Linked DNA regions of Mus musculus. Each later gene encodes a partner of the first gene's protein in a complex. Links are inferred from orthologs where the notes say so. Each region holds a gene or a part of one and is shown in the gene's direction. Other genes may lie near its edges. The genes, in order: Nsmce1, Nsmce2, Eid3, Nsmce4a and Smc5.

What was found.
Region 2: Nsmce1 (region 1) and Nsmce2 share a complex: the UniProt entries of both Homo sapiens proteins name them as parts of the SMC5-SMC6 complex. The link is inferred for Mus musculus from reciprocal best matches to the Homo sapiens genes NSMCE1 and NSMCE2.
Region 3: Nsmce1 (region 1) and Eid3 share a complex: the UniProt entries of both Homo sapiens proteins name them as parts of the SMC5-SMC6 complex. The link is inferred for Mus musculus from reciprocal best matches to the Homo sapiens genes NSMCE1 and EID3.
Region 4: Nsmce1 (region 1) and Nsmce4a share a complex: the UniProt entries of both Homo sapiens proteins name them as parts of the SMC5-SMC6 complex. The link is inferred for Mus musculus from reciprocal best matches to the Homo sapiens genes NSMCE1 and NSMCE4A.
Region 5: Nsmce1 (region 1) and Smc5 share a complex: the UniProt entries of both Homo sapiens proteins name them as parts of the SMC5-SMC6 complex. The link is inferred for Mus musculus from reciprocal best matches to the Homo sapiens genes NSMCE1 and SMC5.

What each region holds. Positions count from the first base shown.
Region 1 is NC_000073.6:125,466,813-125,471,436, reverse strand, and holds the end of Nsmce1 (non-structural maintenance of chromosomes element 1 homolog), read left to right. Parts: intron 1-177; coding exon 178-324; intron 325-2,291; coding exon 2,292-2,408; intron 2,409-3,037; coding exon 3,038-3,158; intron 3,159-3,593; coding exon 3,594-3,673; 3' UTR 3,674-3,793; downstream 3,794-4,624. UniProt on the Homo sapiens protein: RING-type zinc finger-containing E3 ubiquitin ligase that assembles with melanoma antigen protein (MAGE) to catalyze the direct transfer of ubiquitin from E2 ubiquitin-conjugating enzyme to a specific substrate.
Region 2 is NC_000081.6:59,453,805-59,458,428, forward strand, and holds part of Nsmce2 (E3 SUMO-protein ligase NSE2), read left to right. Parts: intron 1-1,508; coding exon 1,509-1,662; intron 1,663-4,624. UniProt on the Homo sapiens protein: E3 SUMO-protein ligase component of the SMC5-SMC6 complex, a complex involved in DNA double-strand break repair by homologous recombination. Is not be required for the stability of the complex.
Region 3 is NC_000076.6:82,864,739-82,868,952, forward strand, and holds Eid3 (EP300-interacting inhibitor of differentiation 3), read left to right. Parts: upstream 1-1,887; 5' UTR 1,888-1,968; coding exon 1,969-3,096; 3' UTR 3,097-3,192; downstream 3,193-4,214. UniProt on the Homo sapiens protein: Tissue-specific component of the SMC5-SMC6 complex, a complex involved in repair of DNA double-strand breaks by homologous recombination.
Region 4 is NC_000073.6:130,543,901-130,549,107, reverse strand, and holds the start of Nsmce4a (non-structural maintenance of chromosomes element 4 homolog A), read left to right. Parts: upstream 1-1,726; 5' UTR 1,727-1,833; coding exon 1,834-2,116; intron 2,117-3,135; coding exon 3,136-3,213; intron 3,214-5,207. UniProt on the Homo sapiens protein: Component of the SMC5-SMC6 complex, a complex involved in DNA double-strand breaks by homologous recombination. The complex may promote sister chromatid homologous recombination by recruiting the SMC1-SMC3 cohesin complex to double-strand breaks.
Region 5 is NC_000085.6:23,228,397-23,233,020, reverse strand, and holds part of Smc5 (structural maintenance of chromosomes protein 5), read left to right. Parts: intron 1-1,028; coding exon 1,029-1,202; intron 1,203-1,293; coding exon 1,294-1,463; intron 1,464-3,982; coding exon 3,983-4,106; intron 4,107-4,624. UniProt on the Homo sapiens protein: Core component of the SMC5-SMC6 complex, a complex involved in repair of DNA double-strand breaks by homologous recombination.

The sequences.
Region 1 (4,624 bases):
GTGGAGAATAAAGCTAGGACAAGGGCCACAACCTGTGTGCACATTGGATACCTAGCACCTGTCGTAGGGATGTGCCTGGTGTGGGTCCATGCAGCTTCTCCTACCAGGGCTGGCTGGAGGCTTAGGTGTCGAGTTTGTTATTCAAATAGATGAATAAGGCACCTCTTTCTCTTGCAGCTGGAACTGATCGTTGACTCAGAAACTGGCTTTGCTTCTTCTACAAACATTTTGAACCTAGTTGATCAACTCAAAGGGAAAAAGATGAGGAAGAAGGAGGCCGAGCAGGTGCTGCAGAAGTTTGTGCAGAGCAAGTGGTTGATTGAGGTACCCTGGGGCCTCCCCGTTCACTCAGGAGTGCACAGTCTGTGTGCTAGCAGTTGAGCCCGGCCTGTCTGTGGGCCCTTCTCTATTGTAAGCTTTCCATGACCTCTGAGAGGAGAGCCTGTGTTCCCTGACTTTCACATGGTCTGTCTTAAGTGCTGCAGCCACAAGTGGAAGAGGCTGGAATCAATGGAAGGCTTATCAGATGCCTTTCAGAATGAAGTTGCTGGCTGTCCCTTCTGTAGACAGCTTGGAGCTGCTGCAAGCGTTTTCTTTTTTGTTGTTTGTTTGTTTTGTTTTGTTTTTTTTTCAAGGCAGGGTTTCTCTGTGTAGCCCTGGCTGTTCTGGAACTTACTCTGTAGACCGGGCTGGCCTCGAACTAAGAATTCTGCCTGCCTCTGCCTCCCAAAGAATGCTGGGATTAAAGGTGTGTGCCACCACTGCTCAGCTTTTTTTTTTTTTTTTTTTGGCTGCAAGGGTTTAATGGGAGTCCTGAAAAAAATCTGTGAGCTGTTGTGGAGGGGAGCATGGAGGCCCTCCACCTTGCCACCCATCAGCCCCTCAATCTTCTCAGTCCTGTCACTGGGTATCCCTTGAGTTCTCGTTCACCATGTATCTGGTGAAGGAAGGCACAGGCTCAGGCAGTAGGGGTCGCGGTTGGGAGAGCACCTCTGGGCTCCTCCACTTTCTGGGCAGGGCTGCTGTGAGTTCTGTAGGGGCCCCACTGAAGGATTGTTGACCGGGTTGCTGGCTGGTCCCTGCCAAGCCTTCCTAGGCATCTGGTTCCTTGATCCGAGGGACTCGGTTTTAGAGGCATCTTTGGCCTCAGAAATGCAGCCTCCCTTTGCTAAGGCTTCCCACAAGGTTTCATTGCTCAAGGGCTTAGGTATTATGCAGCTGGATGGTCCACTAGGAGGCTCTGGACTGGAGGGTGGTAAGTCAGGCATCAGAGCTTGGCCCACCTTTCCTCGTAGTTCAGGTTGGCTCCCTCTAGTGGCATGCAGCCTCAAGAGCAGGAGAAGGAGGTTCAGGAAGCTGGCCACTAGTATGGACCCGGGATCTTTGACAGGTTCCCACAGAACTGAGACTAGCTTGCAAGTTAGCCATGCTCCTGCCACATCTGAGGAGGCCCCACGTCCCTGTCTGCCTAGCAATAACCACTGCTCAGGATTCTTGTGCTCTGTGTACAACAGCCTTTCTATTTCTGAACTCCTTGCCCACTGCCCACTCTTGCTCCTGGAACTAATTTCACTCACTTCTTTAGTCACCAGGCCGCCTCATAAATGCTCTGTTTCCACCCTGCCACTTCTGCCTTGGAAAGGAAGCCTGTCTTCCACAAGCATCCTTCCCCACTGGTGGGTGGGGAGGGAACTCCAGTGTGGAAGACAACAGTATCAGGGGGACTATCTTGTTGGACTGTCTCCTCAGCCTCCTTCTATTACAGGGCCACCTTTGTGTGTGGCCGTCCTGTCAGCTTCCCTCTGTCCACGTCACATGCCCAGGATCACTGAGCCTCCACGCTGGCTCTTCCAGCTTCATTTGTAAAGTGGCAGGCAGGGCTGGCAGTGATGGGGCAACACTGGTGGTAAAGGGCTGGGAAGTGGGCACCCGGCTGGGGTTATCTTGGGTTACCCATTGGGATATTGCTCTCCTCCCTGGCCTCTGTCTTCTCTTGCTGACGACACCAACTGTGACTAGCTTGTAGGGTGGCTGTGAAGATGGGGTCATCATATCTGTGAAGGCAGGGGAGGTTCTGAGATCTGGAGGGTAAGAAGACCTTCGCCTCCATTGTCTGACATTTAGTTTCCCTTTCTGGAGATTTGGCTAAGGGGACTTTGCTGACATTGGTTGGCTGGGATTGGTGACAGTGTGCAGTGACTAGAGTATCTAGACCTAGTCCTCCTGCACTCTGGGCTGTGGGACCCGGAGAGTCAGCACTGAGCTAGCGTGAGTGTGTTGTATCTCTGCAGAAGGAGGGAGAGTTCACCTTGCATGGCCGGGCTATCTTGGAGATGGAGCAGTTCATCCGAGAGAGCTACCCAGATTCTGTGAAGATGTGCAACATCTGCCACGGCCTCCTCATCCAGGTACTGCAGGCAGCAGTGGGAGTGGGGTCCTGATGCTCAGCCCACTGGACCTCTACTGTTACTATATACTTCAGGATATAGCAGCTTTAGGACAGGCCATGCTATACTCCTGCTGCTGCACTCCCTAGCTCTCTCCCTGGCCACTCAGCCGTATCCCAGGGTACTGTTAGGTGCTGGCTGATACCTTAAGCCTTGGTAGCTCTGTGGCAGGTTTTTCTGTCCCCACCATTCTGCTGTTCTGCTTTGCAGGGTCCCCTACGACTCAGTCTGGCTGGATGCCTGAGTTTGCTTCTTTTTGATTATCTTGGACAACCAGGCTCCATACTGATCTTCTATATGTGTATCCATGGGGCCCATGGTATTTCTATGTTCAGATTCTCTGGCTTATAACATGCTTCTCTTGATCGTAAAGTGTGCGATACATGTTGCTACTTGGCCTACTACAAAACTGTATGCCTCTATCTCCCACCAGGGACTCTCTGGTCAGGGGCTTGGGTTTATTGCCAGCATTAAGTTGGGGCCTAGAAGGTTAAACCCTCCAGCCTGCTAGCCATTTTCTTGCAGCTTTCTGAAGGTTTGTGAAGTTGAGAGATGTGCTTGTCCATGGTCATCAGGCTTTCTTGTTTCAGGGTCAAAGTTGTGAGACGTGTGGAATTAGGATGCATTTGCCTTGTGTGGCCAAATACTTCCAGTCCATCCCTGAACCACACTGCCCCCACTGTAATGACTACTGGCCCCACGATATACCAGGTACGTGGCCTCCAGAGTGCTTATGGGATGGGGTGACCTTGTGATGGGCTGTCTGTGGGACCTCTGTTCTAAGTCTGGGCCCCAAGAGCACCCGAGGCATGAGGAGGTCTCTGAGCATGAAGATCATCGTTAGTGACCTGCTGAAGCACAGGTGAACACTGCCTTATCCTACAGGGCTCTAAAATCCAATAGACCCCAAGGTTTGTGAGAGCCAAACAAGGCTGTCCTTATAGCCACCCAGGGACAGGGATGGGAAAGCCACTCCCCAGCTCCCTCAGTGAGCCATGCTGCCTGGCTCACGGTGCTGTGGGAGGAGGGTTAACAGTGACATGTCCTCATGGGAAACAGCTGTAGATGTAGCTGCTGTACTGTACTGTGTGATCAGGCCATTGGTCCTGCTGCTCATTGTGTGTCTCTGTGCTGTTCTATACACAGAAGTCTACAACCCTGAGAAGGAGAGGGAAGCTGGCATCTCCAAGTCGAGCAGAAAGTCCTTACGGACCCGGCAGCACTAGCTGTGTCCTGCATCGTTCTGGGCTGACCCTCACAGTCCATTTAGGACTGCCGTGCCTCCTTTGTTATTTGTTCTTAACACGTTTTTAGTAAATGTTTCCTGATGGCGCTGTGCTCTGTAATCCAGGGCTTGTGTGAGGTTGGGTTCCCCTTGCTGAGTTGAGTGGACTGGCCTGAACGGCAGCCCTGGGCAGATGTCTCTTTGGCTGGCTCTGGGTGCCATTGCTTCGTTGCAGTTTTGGCCCATGATATTAACCTTAGTGTCCACAGCTACAATAGGCCCTTACTCTGGCCCCAAGTGCAGTAGACCCCTGCAGGCTGGGCTGGACTAGATCAGGCTGTCCTCAAACCCTGTCCATTTGGCCTCACGACTGCTGGCCAGACTGGATCCCACCTCTCATTCCCAGCTGCCGCAGCTGCTCTGCTCCTGGCCTCAGTCCCCTGGACAGTCAAATGCCGTACCCTGCCGCCGAGACCTTGGTTTGATTTCAGATGGTTGCATTGAGTTAGGACTCATGGTGAGGGTTCTCACCTGCTCACCTCAGCCTTCCTTCCTTCCTCAGCTCCTCCTCTTTGGTCCCTGGGCTCACAACCACAGTGCCCGTTGAACTTCCTTGATCACTACTTGCTGCACTGTGGTTCCCTGCCTGCTTCTACTCACCCCAATATGTCAGGACTCATACTGGCTCAAATGAGGAGGGACATGCTAGCATTCCTTCTGGAGGCTTAGGCTGGTGGTTCCGATGATGTCACCAGGTCACCCCACTTTTTAACCTCTGTTGAACTCCGGCAGGAAAGCAGAACAGGTCTAGAATAGCCAGGGCTTGGAGTTGGGGGCTCTGGGTTGGGAGTGTTTGAGTCCCTGGTCCCAGGATCCTCTGCATCCTCACAGCCTTCAAGGTGAAGCTCAGGGGCAGTCTCTCAAGCCCTGCCCTCAGGACTACACTGGGCAA
Region 2 (4,624 bases), on another chromosome or scaffold:
AAAAAAAAGCAAACAAACAAACAAACAAAAAGCTACCAACCCCTGAGCTTACCCTAAGATCAACCACAAAATCCTTCTAATGCTGGGCCACTCTGGAAAGCTCTACTACTCCCAGCTTCCAAAGAGAATACACACACACACACACTCATTCATTCATTCATTCATTCCTGTCACCTGCTTGGCTTTCTCTGCCATCCTTCTGGGTTTTCCCTTCCCAGTAACAGCTTGCTTCTTTCTGAGGTTTGTTGTGTGCATGACTTTGTGGTATCGCTTGACTCCCCACTGCTAGGGTACTTTCTCATCCATGCTCTAACACTTAATTGTGAACAGTTAGCTTGTTCTGGCAGCAGCTCCATTAGTTTGTCATCAGAGAGTTTGCAGGTTTACTCTTCACGAGCCAGGCAGTTGCTTTGCCAGCTGTCCTCCCTGCCTTTGTCCTACAATTATTCCTAGAAGTCTGCGTAATAAAGGCTAAATTGCTTATTGTTTTCTCCTCACTAGAAATCTTGCTGTTTGGATGGAACTATTTGGCCTTAAAAAGCTTTTGCAGTCGGAAATTGGTGAGGAATGAGTGGGAGTGCAGGTAGTGAAAATATTTAAGACATCAAGTAAAATTTATAATTACTCAGCTTTGCCTAGCCAATTCTTGGAAGAGTAGACCCAACCTCAGAGGTCTCCAACTGCCCTATTGATGGGGGGGCAAACTGTTTAAACCAAGGTGCTGTCAGCCATTCCATCAAAACAGAGTGGAAACCACAAAGGCATGGGCTACGCTCAAAAAACAAGTGCATGGAAGGAAGCGCCAGACTTCTAATAGAGTGCTGTTGTTAGTGCTGCTGCTGCTGCTGCTGCTGCACGTGTGTTCTAAAGCACCTGAGGGTCTAGGGAAGTTAATTAAGACAGACTCAAGAGCACGATAGATGGGAAGAGATGTGGAGGGGCAAACACAGTCGAGTGGTAACTGCAGCAGTGATGACATACATAGTGTTCACAATCCAGTACCTTTAATGTTTCCGTGTGGCTGAACTTTATAATACTTAGGGAGAAGAACATACATTGAGTGTTTGGCCTTGAACAGAACAAGCAGGACACTCAACTCCTTGTTAGACCAGGGAACTGTAGAAAGTCAAAACCTTAGTTTCTCTTGTTAATGTAGGGATCACTGTCACCCACAGATCAAGGGCTGCAAGAGGATGCTGAACTGAAGATGGAATAAACACTATTGCATGTAGAGATGGGCTGAGCAGATCCAGGTGAAAGAAGAGGGGTGAAGGCCAGGTCTGGGCCAGTCGCCTCTTCTGCAGGGTTTAACAAGTTCATGGACTTAGTGACAGGCTGTGTAGAGCAGGAAGGCAGGGTGGGCGAGCCTGTCACTTTTTCTGAGTAGTCTCGTGAGAGGATCTGTTCTCTCTCATACTGTCTTTTGAATTAAATGAGATTAAGACAGTTGTATAGCCCTTGTTGATACTCATTATCTCTAACGAACATGAATTTATGGTCTTTCTTAGGTAAAAGAAGAACGTCCAGAAAAAGTACCAGATTTAAAATTACTGGTAGAGAAGAAATTTTTGGCTTTACAGGATAAGAACTCTGATGCCGACTTTAAAGAGAATGAAAAGTTCGTGCAGTTCAAGCAACAGCTGAGGGAGCTGAAGAAGCAATGTAAGTCAGCCGCTTCGCTCTGGCTTCTTGAGATGAGGGGCCTGACCTGTGAGCAGTGTCCGCTTCTCTGCTTGCTCCATCCTCTGCCTGAATGGCTTGTCTTGTTGCAGTTTCGTGTTTGTCTAATACTGATTCCAATTGCCTGTCTATTTCTGAAGCCAACAGTTTCCACAAAGTGTCTCACTGCTGGGGAGGGGACTTGGGAAAACAAAATAAAACTAAAAACCATTTTATTAAGATAACAATGGTAATTCTTTCAAAACGTAAACTGCTGTGCCAAGCTCTGAAGTACATTTGTTCCCATTTGCTGCTGTGGGGCAGCGTTGGTGAGGTTTCCTCGGGGATTCCTCCCAAATGCTTAAAAGTCCCTCTGATACTGTACCCTGGGTACTATAAGTTCCATGTGATTTTAAAATTGGCTTAAATGCTTGTTAACAGTTAGGGTTTTGACTTGAAAATGAGAGTGAGGAAAATAATTCATTTTACATACGCACACCCCTACCTTACAGAGTGTACCAGAAATAATATATCTTCTCCACAGTGAGGAAAATAATCCACTGTGTACACACACAGACACGGACGGACGGACAGACAGACAGATAGACAGACAGACACACACACACACACACACACACACACACACACACACACACACACACACAGTACCAGAAGTAGTAAACCTTCTCCATGTGGTCCTCAGAGCAATGTTAGTGAGTTAGATCTTTTTTTTTCTTGTCTAGGCAGCTGTTTAGTTGTATAGGGATTTGTTTGTTTGTTTGTTTTATTTGTTTTAGGATTGAGACACGATTGTTCCTTAAAGAATTGAAGAGGAAAGTGAATGACTTTTTTCCCTTTCAAACGTTAGCCTTCTTTCACACTTATGTGTACACTGACAGAGCAGGATGTTATGTGATGTAAATTCATTTTGTGTCTTTCTATGTACTTAGTGTAGAGATTCATGTTTTGAAGTTGGCTTTCTTTTGGTTTTTTTGGTTTTGTTTTTTTGTGGGTTTTTTTTTTTTTTTTTTTTTTTTTTTAGGTTTTTTGAGACAGGGTTTTCTCTGTGTAGCCCTTGCTGTCCTGGAACTCACTGTGCAGACAAGGCTGGCCTCTAATCCGCCTGCCTCTGCCTCCCAAGTGCTGGGATCAAAGGCGTGCGCCACCATGCCCGGCTGAAGTTGGCCTTCTTTTAAGTAAAGTATTTCTTTAAATTGGTGCTGAGATCTCAAAAATGACTGAGGAAGCTGCTTCACTTTTGTCTATTTTACAAATAACTTAAGTTTCACAATTTAGAATGTTTTGCAATCCTGATGAGACTATTGCTGTTCTGTAGATCTAAACAGTAAGCAGTTTCCCTCGATTTGGTTCTTGATTGAGCATTGTCACTATCACAATCTTTCTCAAATAATTTTATGCAGTTCCCCAGTAGAGCAGAATCCCCAGAAGAGAGAAAGTGGGGCTTTCAGGTTTTATGTCTGCCATAGCAGACATGTTTGTAACTTTAGTGCCCTTGAATTCAGTCTTACACATTATGACAGACCTAATGCCTCACCTCTTATTTTAAAGATATTTTATAATAAAACCGAGGAATAAATATATAAAAAGTATGTTTCTTCCTCCTTTGTTACTTATTCACAAAGTTATTGTTCCATAAAAGAAATTATAGGGAATTTTAGAATAAATGGTCTTGGGGAAATTTCTAATCAGAAGCATATAATGCAACCAAATTAATGTTTAAATTGTGATTATTACTTTTTTAATATGGGGAAAGAGAAAGAGAGAGGAGAGAGAAGAGAGATGTGCTTCCCCAAGTCCAGCCATATACATCATTTGGATAGTTAAATCTAATGACAAGTAAATTTATATTGAAAAGAACACTTCCTTATGTAAGAGTTCCCCATGCGTTGCAACACTGGGAATAACAGAAGTTTCCCTTTAATTTCCCCTGAAATGTTATTTTAAAAGGTCCTGATCTTAAATAGCAGAGCAAACAAAATATCAATACTCTTTTAAAGTGCTATATAAGATACTTTGTGGCGCTTGCAAAATGGAATTGTTAGCTTAGTGTTTTGAGTACTGCCAGTTACTTCTGTAGCATGTCTGATAGGTTTTGTTCTTTAGATTTCACTCTGCTGTGACGGTCCTGATGGAACAGGCTTGTGCAGTGGTTATGTGTCCAGATCCAAGGTACACTGTGACTTATTAAAGGGGCTAATGGATCCATCCGCTTTGAAATATGTTCTGGAGTTAAGGAGTTGTTGTAATTTGTAGTAATAATATTTGGTTTTTTTTTTAATTTGGAAAATATAAGTGAGAGGGAGACACATACACAAACACACACAGACAAAGTCCCTCATCTGTAGTTGCCTGTTTTGATGAAGTAAAAGCTATAGTGAGAACCCTGCAGGCATGATGACATGTACCTATAATCCCAGCACACAGGAGGTAGAGGCAGGAGGATCGCTGCCCCGTGAGGCCAGCTTGGACTACATAGTAAGTTCCAGGCTATCCAGGGCTATATGACAAGACTCTGTCTTAAAGATAAAAAATGACTGAAGTATGTATATAAAGGGTTGTTCTTTTATGTAAACAACCATAATATTTTCTCCATATTCCTCATGTGAGCTACAGTTGCAGGGAATTTAAGTTATCAAATCATAATTCAGTTAAAGAAATGTCAGGTAGTTCTTGAATGGGGTAAGGTCAAGGTGGGGGTGAAGGTGGTTGAGTCTGGTGGACAGTGTTCTCCACTGCACTCACAGTTGACCCTGCTAAGCAGCTGGTTCTCATGCCTTGTGATCCTGTGTCCCTTTAACATACTGAAAATAGACCTCTCAGGGTTCTAGGTCACATGGTGTGTGTGCCTTGTAGTATTTGTCCTATTAGAAACCAGAACTGAGGGTTAAAATAATAATAATCTATTTTAAAAACTATGCCCATTATGTGTTAAGTATAGATAACA
Region 3 (4,214 bases), on another chromosome or scaffold:
GGACAACATGACCATGGCAAAGTATTAGAAAGGAAAACATTTCATTGGAACTGGCTTGCAGCTTCAGAGGTTCAGTCCATTATCATCATGGTGGGAAGAATGGCAGTGTCCAGGCAGACGTGGTGCTGAAGGAGCCCAGAGTTCTACATCTTGATCTGCAGGCAGCAGAAGGAGACTGTGTGCCACATTGGGCATAGCTTGAGCATAGGAAACTTCAAAGCCTGCCCCCACAGTGACACGTCCTTCCACAACACCAAACCTCCTAATAGTGCCACTCCCTATGGGCCAAGCATACATATGGGGGCCATACCCATATAAGCCACCGTATATGCCAAAAGAAAAAAAAAGGAGTCGGACAGTGGGCAGTGGTGGTGCACACCTTTAATCCCAGCACTTGGGAGGCAGAGGCAGGTGAATTTCTGCTTTGGAGGCCAGCCTGGTCTACAGAGTGAGTTCCAGGACAGCCAGGACTACACAAGAAACCCTATCTCGAAAAACCAAAAAAAAAAAAAAAAAAAGAAAAAAGATCAGTAATAGTTTTTAAGATAGAGTGGAATACGCAGGAGACCGATTTTGCAAATGAGGAAACTCAAGTATATGGAAATTACAGAAGCATTTTTTTTTTTCATTTAAAGATGTGTACATTTAAATGTGGATATGTGCGTGTTGAGTACAGAGGCCTGTATGTACATCCTCAACCTAAAAATATTTTTCTTTTCCTAAAACCTAAAACAATGAAAAAAATCATTGCTTTGTATATAAAAGAACATAGTAAGTATGTACTCGGTAGTTAAAACCACTGATTATATAATTTTTATTCTATATGTTATAATTCCCATCTTATAAATGAGGGACAGTGGTGGCTTGCAGATTTAGCACCCGTCTAAGTTAATATAAGTAGATAAAGACTGGGACACAGGCTTTTCTTCCAGCCCATTTTTAGATTGGATTCCTTGAGGTGGAGTTAAAGTTGTGAGCCTGTAAGTGCTCTTAACATCTAAACCTTGTCTCCAGCCCCTTCAGCCCATTTTAAAAAATTAAAAATTAGTATTGTGATATATGTATGATGTATGTTTAGGCATGAGTACCCTGGTCTGTATGTCAAGTTTAAAAGACAGCATATGTGTAGACATGAGTACCATGGTCCATGTATGGAATTCAGAGGACAAGTTTGCGGAGTTGATTCTTTCACTCACGTTGAGTGGTTCGTCTTTTTGAAGGTTTATTTTTAAAAGTATGTGCATGCACACATGATTGCCAGTGGAGGCTAGAAGGAAGTGTTGGAACTGGAGTTACAGGCAGTGGCTGTGAGCTACCCCATGGGGTGCTGAACTCTGTCACTGACAGAGTCCCGTGCCCCCCCCCCCCCCCCAAGCTTTCTGTGGTGAGAGTTGGGTATGATGCGCTTGTTGAACTTAGAAACAAAACACTCCTCACATTGTTAAATCGCTGTGCACTGATAACTCCAGCCACTTAATTGCGCCATGGGTCACTGGTGAGCTGGTGTGTGGTTCCCAAAGCATATTATTCACCCAGTAGGTGATAACACAGATGGTGCGAGATGATACTAAAAATCTTCTTAGTTTGCTCATCTTATAGGATTCAGGTTAACCTCCTCTGTAGTGTATAAAAGCATTTAGCCTTTGGCAGGCTTCCCTTGCAAAATCCTGCCTGCCCACTGTTCTTCCACCCTTGAGTGGAGACACTCCTAAGAGTGTAAGGGATGGTGGGGGTGGGGGGCAAGAAGCATCCTTCATGCTGTGAATTAGCATGTACTTCCCTCTAAGCAGAAAAAGAACAACGGGAGCCTGGGCTGGAGGTGTGGTCTCTGTGAGCTGGGGGGCGGGGTTGCTTGCGCATGGGCAGGAGGCTCTGTTCCAACGGCTTACCTTTGCCATCTCGCGTCGCTACGGTTGGTAGGTAGTATGGTAGTAGCCCTGGGAGAGCTGTTACCTGCGCACCACCACCATGTCTAAAGAAAAATGTTCCCTTACTGGAGGCAAAGAGAAAAGAGGGGAGCTGGTCCGGAGTCTGGCATGGCAGCACCTGGTGAAACAGGAGGAGGAAGAGGCAGTGAAGAAGGAAGAAAAGGAGGAAGGGGAAGATGAGGAGGAGGAAGGCTCAGACAGTAGCTCCGATGACCCGAACCCCGAGCCCCCCTGCATGCACCCAGACCTCCTGGAGCTGGTGGTGGATCGAGAGAAGTGCCGCAAAATCCGCAGGCAGTACCGGCAGCTCATCTACACCGTGCAGCAGAACCGCGAGGACATTGTGAACACGGCCAGCGACACGCTGAGTGAGGCCCTGGAGGAAGCCAACGTGCTGTTTGACGGAGTGAGCAGAACCAGAGAGGCAGCCCTTGATGCCCAGTTCCTGGTTTTGGCCTCTGATCTGGGTAAAGAGAAGGCGAAGCAGCTAAACACCGATATGAACTTTTTTAATCCCATTGCCTTCTGCGATTTGCTGCTGTTGTTTGTGGGCTTCAATTGGGTAGAAGAGGAGTGTAAGGAATTTAGCGACTGCGATGATAGCATAGTTCTTTCCTTTTGGGGCATGTTGCACGAGGAAGCAACCTCCTGGATGCTGCAAGCCGAAACGTTCCACTTCATTTTTGGGTCATTTAAGGCAGAACGTTCTGCACGAAAGCCCCGGCTTGGATGTCACAAAAGAGCTTGCAAAATGGAAGGAAGTGGAGATATGCCTACAAAGTTGAGGAGGCTGGATGTGCATGCTAATCAGGAGACGACAGAAAAAGAAGTTGAGAGAATCTTGGGATTGCTGCAAACCTACTTTCAAAAGTACCCCGATACTCCAGTGTCATACTTTGAGTTTGTGATTGATCCAAACTCATTCTCTCGCACTGTGGAGAATATCTTCTATGTGTCTTTTATTATTAGGGATGGCTTTGCAAGAATAAGGCTTGACCAAGACAGGCTGCCAATTCTAGAGCCAACTAATGTGAGCCAGGTGGATGATGAAAGTGATTCCTATTCGTACTGCAGGAAACAAGGCGTTATATCTTTGAGTTTACAGGACTGGAAAAATATTGTCTCCACTTTTGAAATTTCAGAGGCTATGATCAAAAACTCATATTAAAGAGTTTTATTCATAGTATATCTTGAACTAACATCGAAAAATGGAATCTAAACAGAAGCACAAACTCTAGTAAACTATTTTCAAGAACAAATGAAATTGTCTACTGTGCAGTGTATTTTACTTGATAATCTAATAAGGTTGTAATCTTAAAAGTTCACTCTCATGCTTATGGGAAAGTTTTTTTGAAATTCACATGACACTCTCAGTAAGCTCCCGAGTTTCTTAGAAAGTATTAATTAGCCAACTTGCTAAACACAAAAACCAGGACTCACTGGGATACTGAATTGCTTTTTCTGACGCTGCAAAACTAAGGGCAAGGGGGCTTTTCACCAGGTCGGGGCAAGAGTGAGAACAAGACAAGAAAAGTCAGTAGTGTTCAGACTCTCAAGTCCAGGTGACGGGCTTCCTTTCAAAAAGTGGATCTCTGTATTCTGAACTTTGTTTTTGATAAATGAATTTAATAAAAGTGTGTGTGTGTACTGTAAGACTGAAGCCACTAAGTCTTGAAAGGCAGGTCCAAGTTAGACAATAGGGAAGGCATCCTGGCTTGGTTTTGAGACAGGGTCTCCTCATGGAACCCTGGCTGGCCTGGAACTCACAGTGACCTGCCTGCACCTGCCTCTGCCTCCCACCACACTGGGGGAGAAGGCATCCTAGGGAAGAAAACAAGATCAAATCTGTGCCACTGAGACGAGTCATGACCCAAGAGGCTGGGCAGATTTACAGAAAATTTACCCTTGACTATGAAGCAGGCGGGAATGTCCCTGACCTCGCCAGTGTTCAGAGGTAGACAATATTTGTCACTCCCAGTTGCAAGCCTTATCTTTGGCTAATCTTTCACCACTCAGTATCATCATGATTTTTACTAGCAGTGTCCCTCCGTGATGTTTCAACATGTAACAACTCTGATTGTCCCAATTAAACTTGCTTTAATAAACAAAAGGCCCAGGGGTTTTGCTCTGTATCTGGCCTATCTAGTGAGAATTCTCTATCCACCCACCCCTGGCCCCTGTGCCCCACGTGCCCAGTTTCTTGTGGGCCTAAGTTGGAAACAGGGTGCTGATTTGAGTACTTGGTCTGGCGTGGTAGCCTTTTGCTTCTGAGAGATTGCATCAGAG
Region 4 (5,207 bases), about 5.1 Mb from region 1:
TTCAACATCGGACTCTGATCGGACATCGGACACTGCTATAAGCTTGCGTTTTATTTGTTAAAGAGATTTGCTATGTGTGCGCATGTATGCCTGGTGATGCTACATGCATCACGTATGTGCAGGAGTCCAAAGAGGGTGTCGAATCTTCTAGAACTGTTGTTCTAGACAGCTGGGAGCCACTATGTGGATACGGAGGACTGATGCCAGGTCCTCTGTAAGAGCAGTAAGTGCTCTTAACTGCTGAACCATTTCTTCTCAGTAGTCTACATTAATACAGAGAATAGTATTTCATCAATCACATTCACCCCTTCTTCCCCACACACTCTTCTGTGATGTCAATGCAAATTAGTGTTTTAAATTAACCCAGCAACATAAAATATGAAGAGATGCACTTATATACGTGTAAGGGTGTCTATGCATAGCTTCCTAGTTCTTTTTTCTTTGGAGGCTCTAGAAGCAATGATATCTCAGTAGCAGTGAGCTCACTAGGCTTTGGATCTTGGTCTCAAAATCCTCTCAGCCTTTGTGAGGTAGTTAGATTCACGAGGATCAGGAACTCAATATTAGCTTCAGCTACAGGGTCAGTTTGAGGCCAGCCTGGGTTACATGAAATCCTATGTGAGAGGGAGGGATGGAAGAAGGAGAAGTGTGTGTGTCAGAGGGTAGATTACCTCAGGATTCCTAAGGTGGCATAAAAACTGGTACATGGGCGGGCGGTGGTGGCACATGCCTTTAATCCCAGCACTTGGGAGGCAGAGGCAGGCAGATTTCTGAGTTTGAGGACAGCCTGGTCTACAAAGTGAGTTCCAGGACAGCCAGGGCTACACAGAGAAACCTTGTCTCAAAAAACAAACAAACAAAAAACAACAACCAAACTTGTACACGGCAGTGTGGATCCATAATCCTAGTGCGTTGGAAGTGAAGACAGGAAAATGCCTAGATCTTGCTGGCTATTTAAGTCCTGTCAAAAAGACGAGTTCCAGGTTCAGCTAGAGATGCCTTATGGTAAAGAACGTGGAGAGTGGGCTGGAGAGATGGTTTAGAGGTTAAGAGCACTAGTTCTCATAGGAGTAGGGTTCCATCGCCGTTATCCACAGGGCAGCTCACAAACCCTTCTTAACTCCGGTTCCAGAGGAGGTGTGCACGTCCTATTTTGACATCTGAGGGCACTGCATACATTTCGTCCACAGTGTGCACGCAAATAAAGGATGTATATACACACACAACAAATCTAAAAAATGTGGAACTGAAAGAGGAAGACCCCTGAAGCCAACCTGCCGTTTGTACCCGCAGATGCACACTTGTGCATGCGTATCTATGTACAGTGCACACACACACAATTACATGGAATGATATGTATACATGTATCTTTGAAACCACATTGCATATAATTATCTTCCTCAGACCTGTTATAGGGTATCTGTTGTTAGAGAATCAGCTGTGAACCTGCCGTGTGGTGGTGCAGATATTTAGAAGGAGGCTTAACAGTTTACTATGGTACAGTCAAGGAACCCTGTTTTGTTTGTTGTATCCTCCCCAAGGCCAGAGGAGCCAAAGAGACAATGGGAAGATGCATGACTAAGTGGGGTGGGCATTAGGATCAGAGATCTAAAGTCCTAAGACTCTTGCTTGCAGGGTGGAGTAACTAAGAACCAATGCGAGGCACAGACACAGCCAACGCCGCCGCGACCTCCGGGCCACAGGTGTCGCTGTGTGCTCACGCGCCAGCCGGGGAGCTGCGTTGCTCCTGGAGCCGGCGCTCGAGCCCAGCCGGGGGTTTCAGTTTCTGGCGCGAACTTCCGCCGCTCCGAAGTTGCAAGGCGAATTGGCGCGATGTCTGGCGACAGCAGCGGCCGCCGGTCTGAGGGCCGGGGCCGGGGCCGCGACCCGCACCGGGATCGCACCCGCTCCCGGTCCCGCTCGCGGTCCCCGCTGGCCCGCCGCGGCGCCGCGCCGGAGCGCAGGGAGGCAGCGGAGCGTCCGAGCTTGGAGGACTCCGATCTGTCTGATTCTGGGGACGAGCTGATGGACCCGGCCTGCTTGGAGGCCGAGTACGACCAGGGCCTGTGCCGCCAGATCCGCCATCAGTACCGCGCTCTCATCAACTCTGTCCAACGTAAGGTGGCGCTTTGTGGCTGCGCGGGCCGGTGGCGTTCCATGGCTGGGGAGGGCGGTGGAGGTGCAGGCGCTGGCCGGTCTGCGCAGGCTCGCGGCAGCGCGCTTTCGCTTGTTTACGAAGTGCAGCCTACGCGACCTTGGCGGCGGCCGCGCAGGTGCTGTGTGGCCGGCTGGAAAAGCGGGAGACCAGACCTGGTGGTGACTTGAGCTCAGCTAGCCAGTAGGGAAGACAAGCACACACCACCAGATTTTTGTTCAATCTAGCTTGCTCCTCGTGGGCGCCTGAGCTATGGAGTCCCTTGGGATTGCTAAAATGCACATTTCCCTGCCCAGCTCGGATACACTGAATCAGAAATGCTGTACAGGCCCAAGCGTTTGTTGTGTGGCTCTCCAGATGAGCCTGTTGCTTGAGAAGTTGACAATCCTTTCTTAATCGAGCCCTTGTATTGGGAAGCCGAAGAGTCATCCCTTTGCACATTTGGGGAGCAAGTGTTTCCTGTCAAGAGTTCAAGTTTTGAGGGCTGGGGAGATGGGCAGATGCTTCTCTTGCGACCTTAATTAGATTCCCCAGAACCCTCTAAAGTGTCTCCTAAAAGTAGTTCTGTAAACTTGTATCCTCAGCCGAGGGGAAGCAGAGACCCTGGGTCTCTTTGGCCAGCTCACCTAGCCTTCTTGGCTAGTTCTATAGATAGATAGATAGATAGATAGTTCTATAGATAGATAGATAGATAGATAGATAGATAGATAGATAGATACCCTGTCTCAAAAGGCAAAGGTGATGGTGCGCTGAGGGAAGGACATCAAAGGTTGACCCCAGGCCTTCTGCACACACAGACGTTCAATTTGCTTGGAACAGTAGTAACATTGTCTCTTTCTGTAAAAGATAAAGCCTTTTTCTGTTAAAGAGATAAAGCCACTCTAATCATTACCCAGGCTGTAGGAGTGGAAGGAACTGTAAGTTGCTACTTATTAGTGAAGGATGTGCCCAGTTCCCTAAGCTTGTATTCTTTTAAATAGAAAACCGGGAAGACATACTGAATGCTGGTGACAAACTAACAGAGGTCCTGGAAGAAGCTAACACTCTGTTTAATGAAGGTAATTCATGATTTTAAATCTGTTATTGCAGCTTATACTCACTGGGTTACTTTTATAGAAGCCAATTATTGTTGTTCCATAATTCCCATTTACTAGTGCACAGGCCCAGAGCCTTTTCCGTTTTAGCAACAATACTGTGCACTTACCACTTGGTACAGTGTATGCTTTAGGGTTCTTCGAAGATTTCTAGAAGTCAGGAAGGAGTTGTACAGTCTGTTTTAAGAAGCCTCTTCCATGAGCTGGGCAGTGGTGGTACACACCCTTTAATCTCAGCACTGGGGGGTGGGGGAGGGGCAGAGGCAGGTCTCTGAGTTCAAGGCCAGCCTGGTCTGCAACTGTCTGTTCCTGTGCATCTACAGCTACACACAGAAACCCTGTCTCAAAAACAAACAAACAAACAAACTAGCTGGGCGTGGTGGCACACGCCTTTAATCCCAGCACTCCGGAGGCAGAGGCAGGCAGATTTCTGAGTTCAAGGCCAGCCTGGTCTACAAAGTGAGTTCCAGGACAGCCAGGGCTACACAGAGAAACCCTGTCTCGAAAATAACAACAACAAAAAAGACTAACAAAAAAGAAGCCGTGATTCTTTTGCTGGCTTGAATTTGAAAGTTTCACTTGTATGTTCTGTTAAGCAGATAGATGAACTAGAGAAGAGTGCAGCCAGCTTCAGAGATCCTCTTTTCTTTTCCTTCCTTGGTCTCCCCTCCTTTAGCTATTGATCCACCTATAACCTAATGGAGGTGCCTCATCTACAGGCACACCTCTTGTGTGTGGTTGGGGACAGTGGGGAAGAACTTTCCGTGTTGAAATCTGGCTCCTGGGAGTTTTCTATTTGTTTGAAGTTGTGTGTCCATGTGGGTTTGTGCACATGAATACAGTTATCTGTGGTGGCCAGAAGAGGATATGGGATTCTTCTCAGAGCTGGAGTACACGGAGGGTGTGAGTTGTCTGACAAGGGTGTTGGGAACCCAACCCAGAGGCCTCTTGGAAGAGCAGTACTCTGTATTAACTGCTGGTCCCTCTTCCCCAGCCGCATGGGGGCTTAAAACCACAATATTAGTTTGAATTAAAAGCAGCAGCAGTTGGTTGTAGTGGTGACCGCTTTGGCTGGTATCCAATGAGCAAGGTGGGTGTACTTCCTGATGGGAGACCAGGACAGCTACACAGACCATGTTTCTCTTTGGGCCTCTCTCACTGCTTTAGGAACAGAAAGGGGCAACTGCAGTGATAAGGAGAGAAACCAGGGATGCCCTGTTCCCTGCTAGCCACAGTTCCTCATGATCTTTCGGACAGTTTGCTTCTAGTTATCTAGGATGCCTGGTTGTTTGCGTTGTCACAGTGTTTAGTGAGTGTTGTCCTTCAGTCTTTCCTGCTCTGGCCATGGCCTCCTTACAGTTCACCTTTTTGGTCTGGAACATACACTAAATCACTTCCAGAACTTGAAGGATTGTGGCTCCTCTTCCACTTTTCCACTGTCAAGCTTTTTCTTCCATCATAGCCTGGACCCACGGTCTCATTTGTGATTGGCTCATTTACACCCCTATTATCAACCGTCCATCTTACTGACTTCTTCCATGTTACCTCCCTCAGTAGAAGGCAAAATTATTCACTCAGCTGGGCTCTCAAGAGTTATTCCATGCCGGGGTGCATACCTTTAATCCCAGCACTCGGGAGGCAGAGGCAGGCGGATTTCTGAGTTCGAGGCCAGCCTAGTCTACAGAGTGAGTTCCAGGACAGCCAGGACTACACAGAGAAACCCTGTCTCAAAAAAACAACAACAAAAAAACCCCAGAGTTATCCTGCTTGGCATTCATGGGTATGGGTGTCACACCTGTTTTAATTCTATAGGGAACTTGCTCTCGTCCAGACAGATCTACACTTTTCTTGTAGTAGCCTATGTAGCTGTTGGGCAAAGGAGGGGGTGTTGTAGACAAGAGCCCAGCAGCCAGTGTCTGCTTTCCCTTTCTTTCTCTGTGACTTCTGCAGTGACTCTC
Region 5 (4,624 bases), on another chromosome or scaffold:
GCCAGCTTATACCCTATTTATCCATTATGTTAAAGGGTTTTTTTTTTGTTTTTTTTTTTACCCATCAAAATGTTTATTGAAGGATGGTACATAGCTTCAGAGGGTAGACCTGGAAGGGGAGCTGGGATGGGAGGGAAACATGGATTGACTAAAGGAAAATGATGGAGACGTGTTTAGAAAGTGACCATGCCCCTGTGGCAACTGTAAGGTGTATATACACACTATCAACCCTGAAGATAATGAAGTCTTACTGAAGAGGCAATAGGTTAGACTTCAGTTGGAAGCAGGTAAAGAGTCAGTCAACATGTCTCAGGCAGGCTCCGTGTTCCTACTAAAACTGAGTACCTGTGTCAAACAGCCAATAAAAACAAAGATGTTAAAGGGTCTTATCTCTTCATTTAGACTAGGAATTTCTCTAGTAAGACAAACCTTAACAGTGTTGGTCGTGAAGCTTCCGAGACCGGGGGTAGGGTGGGAATCACAACAACCTATTATTGATAGTAGAAAAATCAGATGTAATGATATTATGGTGCTTAGAATGTTTTGATTTGTGAAACTCTTGTGTAAATGAAGAAAAATGATTAAAGAACAAAGGTCAAAATAAAAACTCTTTGAACTCTATGAAAAGTATTTTCATCTAGTATTGTCAACATGGAAAAAGGAAGTCTGAGATTATGTTCCTTTAACCAGTGCAGTGAAGGGGAGGAAAGCGTAAACCATTGGGCACTGGGCTCTTAGTGTCTCTTAGGAAAAACTACCAAACTACATGTCCTTGGGAGAGATGTCAGCAAAGCGAAATCGCAGCCTTTTCACTGTTTAGTGAGCTTTCTCATCACTCTGAAAGTATGCCTTCCCAAACATTTCCCTAGGGTGCATTAGCCACACTTAGAGGTGTTGGATAGCTTGTGTTGAGTCGGGGATATTGCTCTACTAGAATTCGCCTGGGTTTTGGTCTTAATTCTTTAGTCCTTTGAAGCATATATTATACTTTTTATTAGATATTTATGAATTCCTGCTTTACATTACAGGTAATACAAGAAACTCGATTAAAACAAATTTATACAGCAGAAGAAAAGTATGTGTTAAAAACTTCTGTGTATTCAAATAAAGTTATTTCTAGTAATACATCCCTGAAAGTAGCCCAGTTCCTCACTGTTACTGTGGATCTAGAGCAAAGAAGACACTTGGAAGAGCAGCTAAAGGTTGGTTCACTTGATTTAGTTACTAAAATGTCAACTGGAGTTTTAAGACTTTAATTTAAAAGGTTGTTAACAATTTTTTAATACTCCTTAGGAAATGAATAGACAACTGGAAGCAGTGGACTCAGGGTTGGCTGCCTTGCGTGATACGAACAGGCACCTTGAGCTCAAAGACAACGAGCTAAGGCTGAAGAAGAAGGAGCTTCTTGAAAGAAAAACCAGGAAAAGGCAGCTGGAGCAGAAAATCAGCTCCAAGCTGGCAAGGTACTGCGTGGCTTGAGATGGGAGTTCAAAACACATGGCCTGAGTGTCTGCTAGCTCAGTCGTGGAATGGCAGCAGCAGGTTATAGTAATTTCTAAAGTTTTAATATCAGCTTTCAAATTGCAGTCGTGGTGCATAGGGCAAAAGTCAGACTAAAGTGTTCTCTCCAGTCCTCTCACCCACTCAGTGCCTAAGTGTAAGTGTTTAGAATGCAGTTAGAAATTATATTCATGTAGAAAAATGACAGTTGTAGTTTCTTTCCTAAGGTCTGTGACCTCTAGACATGTGTAATTATCTAGGTTTGTAATACCAGGAATGAAATACCTGCTATTGAGCAGGCCTTAAGTCCAGTTAGACAACTTTTGGTTGCCTCTAATATAAAAGTGCTACTATTCCACTGTTGAGGATTCTTTTTTGAGCTGGTAAACATGATGGCATAGACTGGGGACATTTCACAAGGCCCTATCCGTAAATAAAGAGCTCCAAGCAGTCGGTGGCTGTTGAGAGAGGGTGAATCATTTTTCCCCGAGTTATCATTCTTCCTGATAGGTTATCTAATCCCAAGTGGTAAGCCTTTGTTGTTGTTGTTTGTTTTTTCAAGACAGGGTCTCTCTGTATAGCCCAGGCTGTCCTGGAACTCACTTTGTAGACCAGGCTGGCCTCGAACTCAGAAATCTGTCGCCTCTGCCTCCCGAGTGCTGGGATTAAACTTATGCGCCACCACTCCTGGCTCCAAGTGGTAAGCCTTAATACATACGTGTACATATGAGAAACACTAAACAGACTCACAGAGAGACAAAGGAATATAGAGATATCATGAATTTGAGGGGTGTAGGATAGAGTGGTTGGAGGCAGGAAAGGGAGGTATATGGAAATGATGTGAATACAGTATTCCTACTAAGTTTTCAAAATATAAGATTAAAAAGCTGGGAAAATCAGAAAAGATTTTTTTTTAAAAAAAGACAACAAACTATATTACAGAAATTTTCTTTGTTTTTAATCTTTTTTAAAGCAAATAGCGGGCTGGTGAGATGGCTCAATGGGTAAGAGCACCCGACTGCTCTTCCGAAGGTCAGGAGTTCAAATCCCAGCAACCACATGGTGGCTCACAACCATCCGTAATGAGATCTGACTCCCTCTTCTGGGGTGTCTGAGGACAGCTACAGTGTACTTACATATAATAAATAAATAAATAAATAAATAAATAAATAAATAAATAAATCTTTTTAAAAAAAAATAAATAAAAATAAAGCAAATAGCTTCTTTCCTGCATTTTCTTTTTCAATTTTTAACCTTGTTTATCAACTTCAACCCTTCACATTAATCCTATCTTCAATTATTGACAAACCATTTAAACTTTACTGTGTGACTTCTGTGATTCCCTTGTTGAAGCTTGTTTAAGACTTTCTTGTTAATGATTTTTGGGAGAAAATGAGTTTTTGTTTATTACCAGCCCATTACTTTTATTTCTGCCTTTATTCACTCTGTGGTGGTGCCCTGCAGCGATGGTTGGACCCTCCGTTCAGTTCATCCAGATGCTGTTTGAAAAGTTAGGGGTGGGTGGATGGGTTAGCGGTTCTTGCCAGGCTGCACCTTGCGCTTCCGAAGGCTTTCATAAGTATTACGCATCTTGCTTTCCTGTGCAGCAGCATCCGCTTCCTTGGACAGCATCCGCTGTACTTGTGGTTCTTAGTTAGGACCTACAACTTCTGCCCTCTCTGTCTCCTCGGAATCACCATGGTTTAGTGGGAAGACAGACCATGGATTAAACTTATCCTACAACTTAATATCTATAATTGTAGGTGATGACTTTGTTTCTTCATCTTTAAAATCATCTCAGTGATAATTGTCAGGGTGCAGGGTGTAGCTCATGTGGCAGGCTGGCCTCACACTTGTGTAGCTGACTTACCTCAAACTTGGGATTTTTCTGCCTCTGCCTCCCAAGTGCTGGGTTGTGTACCTCCACTCCAGATCAGTGCTGCTGTGGGGATGGAATCCAAGTCTTTGTGCTTATTAAGCAAGCACTCCACCAACTGAGCTCCATTCCTAACCCTTATGTTGATTTTTCTTCTGGTTTTTTTACGAATGGGTCAGCTCTACCTGCTTAAGGACTGTGTTTTATGAACAATGTCAGTATCAACCTGTATTAATAAATAAATAATTTCTGGGCCAGGTATTATTCTATGTTGTGTTTTTTCTTCCATCTGCAGTGTACAGATGAGGAAGCTAAAGCTCCAGCTTCGCTTCTTGATGACTGACAGTGGGGAATTCAAACTTCCCTTCTGACTCCATATTCTGCATCAGCACCATTCCTGACACTAGACTTTGCTGGTCATATAGCTCCACAGTATATTTTGATCCTGACTGATTGTATTAAAAGGTCCTTAATCTAGAAACTAGTATTTATACTTCTGATTACCATTATTATTATATAACCCAAAAACTTCGGGGACCTAAGGCTTTGGACTCGGTCCTTTGTTTAGCTCTGATCTCTCCATCATTATATGTGTCTGTCATACAGTATAAGGCTGATGGAACAGGATACTTGCAATCTGGAAGAGGAAGAACGAAAAGCAAGTACCAAAATAAAAGAAATAAATGTTCAGAAAGCAAAACTTGTTACTGAATTAACAGGCCTTGTAAAGGTAAGATGTTTTTCTTAATTTTCAATATTTTTTAAAAACACTTGCTAAATACTAAAATTTAGTAATATTTGGAGGACTTTATGAGAAATCATCACTTTAAAGTGTTTTTCTAGTTTGGTGATATAAGCAAGAGATTTTTATAGTCATTTTCGGCTTGTTTAGGTTTTAATGCTTGCAGAGAATCTTTTTTTTTTAATTTATTTATTATATGTAAGTACACTGTAGCTGTCTTCAGACACTCCAGAGATGCCAGATCTTGTTACTGATGGTTGTGAGCCACCATGTGGTTGCTGAGATTTGAACTCTGGACTCTTTGGAAGAGGAGTCGGGTGCTCTTACCCACTGAGCCATCTCACCAGCCCACTTGCAGAGAATCTTAAAAGTTAACTCATTAGGCTAAATTATTTTCTTTCAAATGACCTAAATATTTAGAAAGTAACTTTTTAAAGTAGTTTTATATTAACCATTTGATGGAGATGTCAATCACAAGAAAATGTTATTTTTTCATGATTCATAAT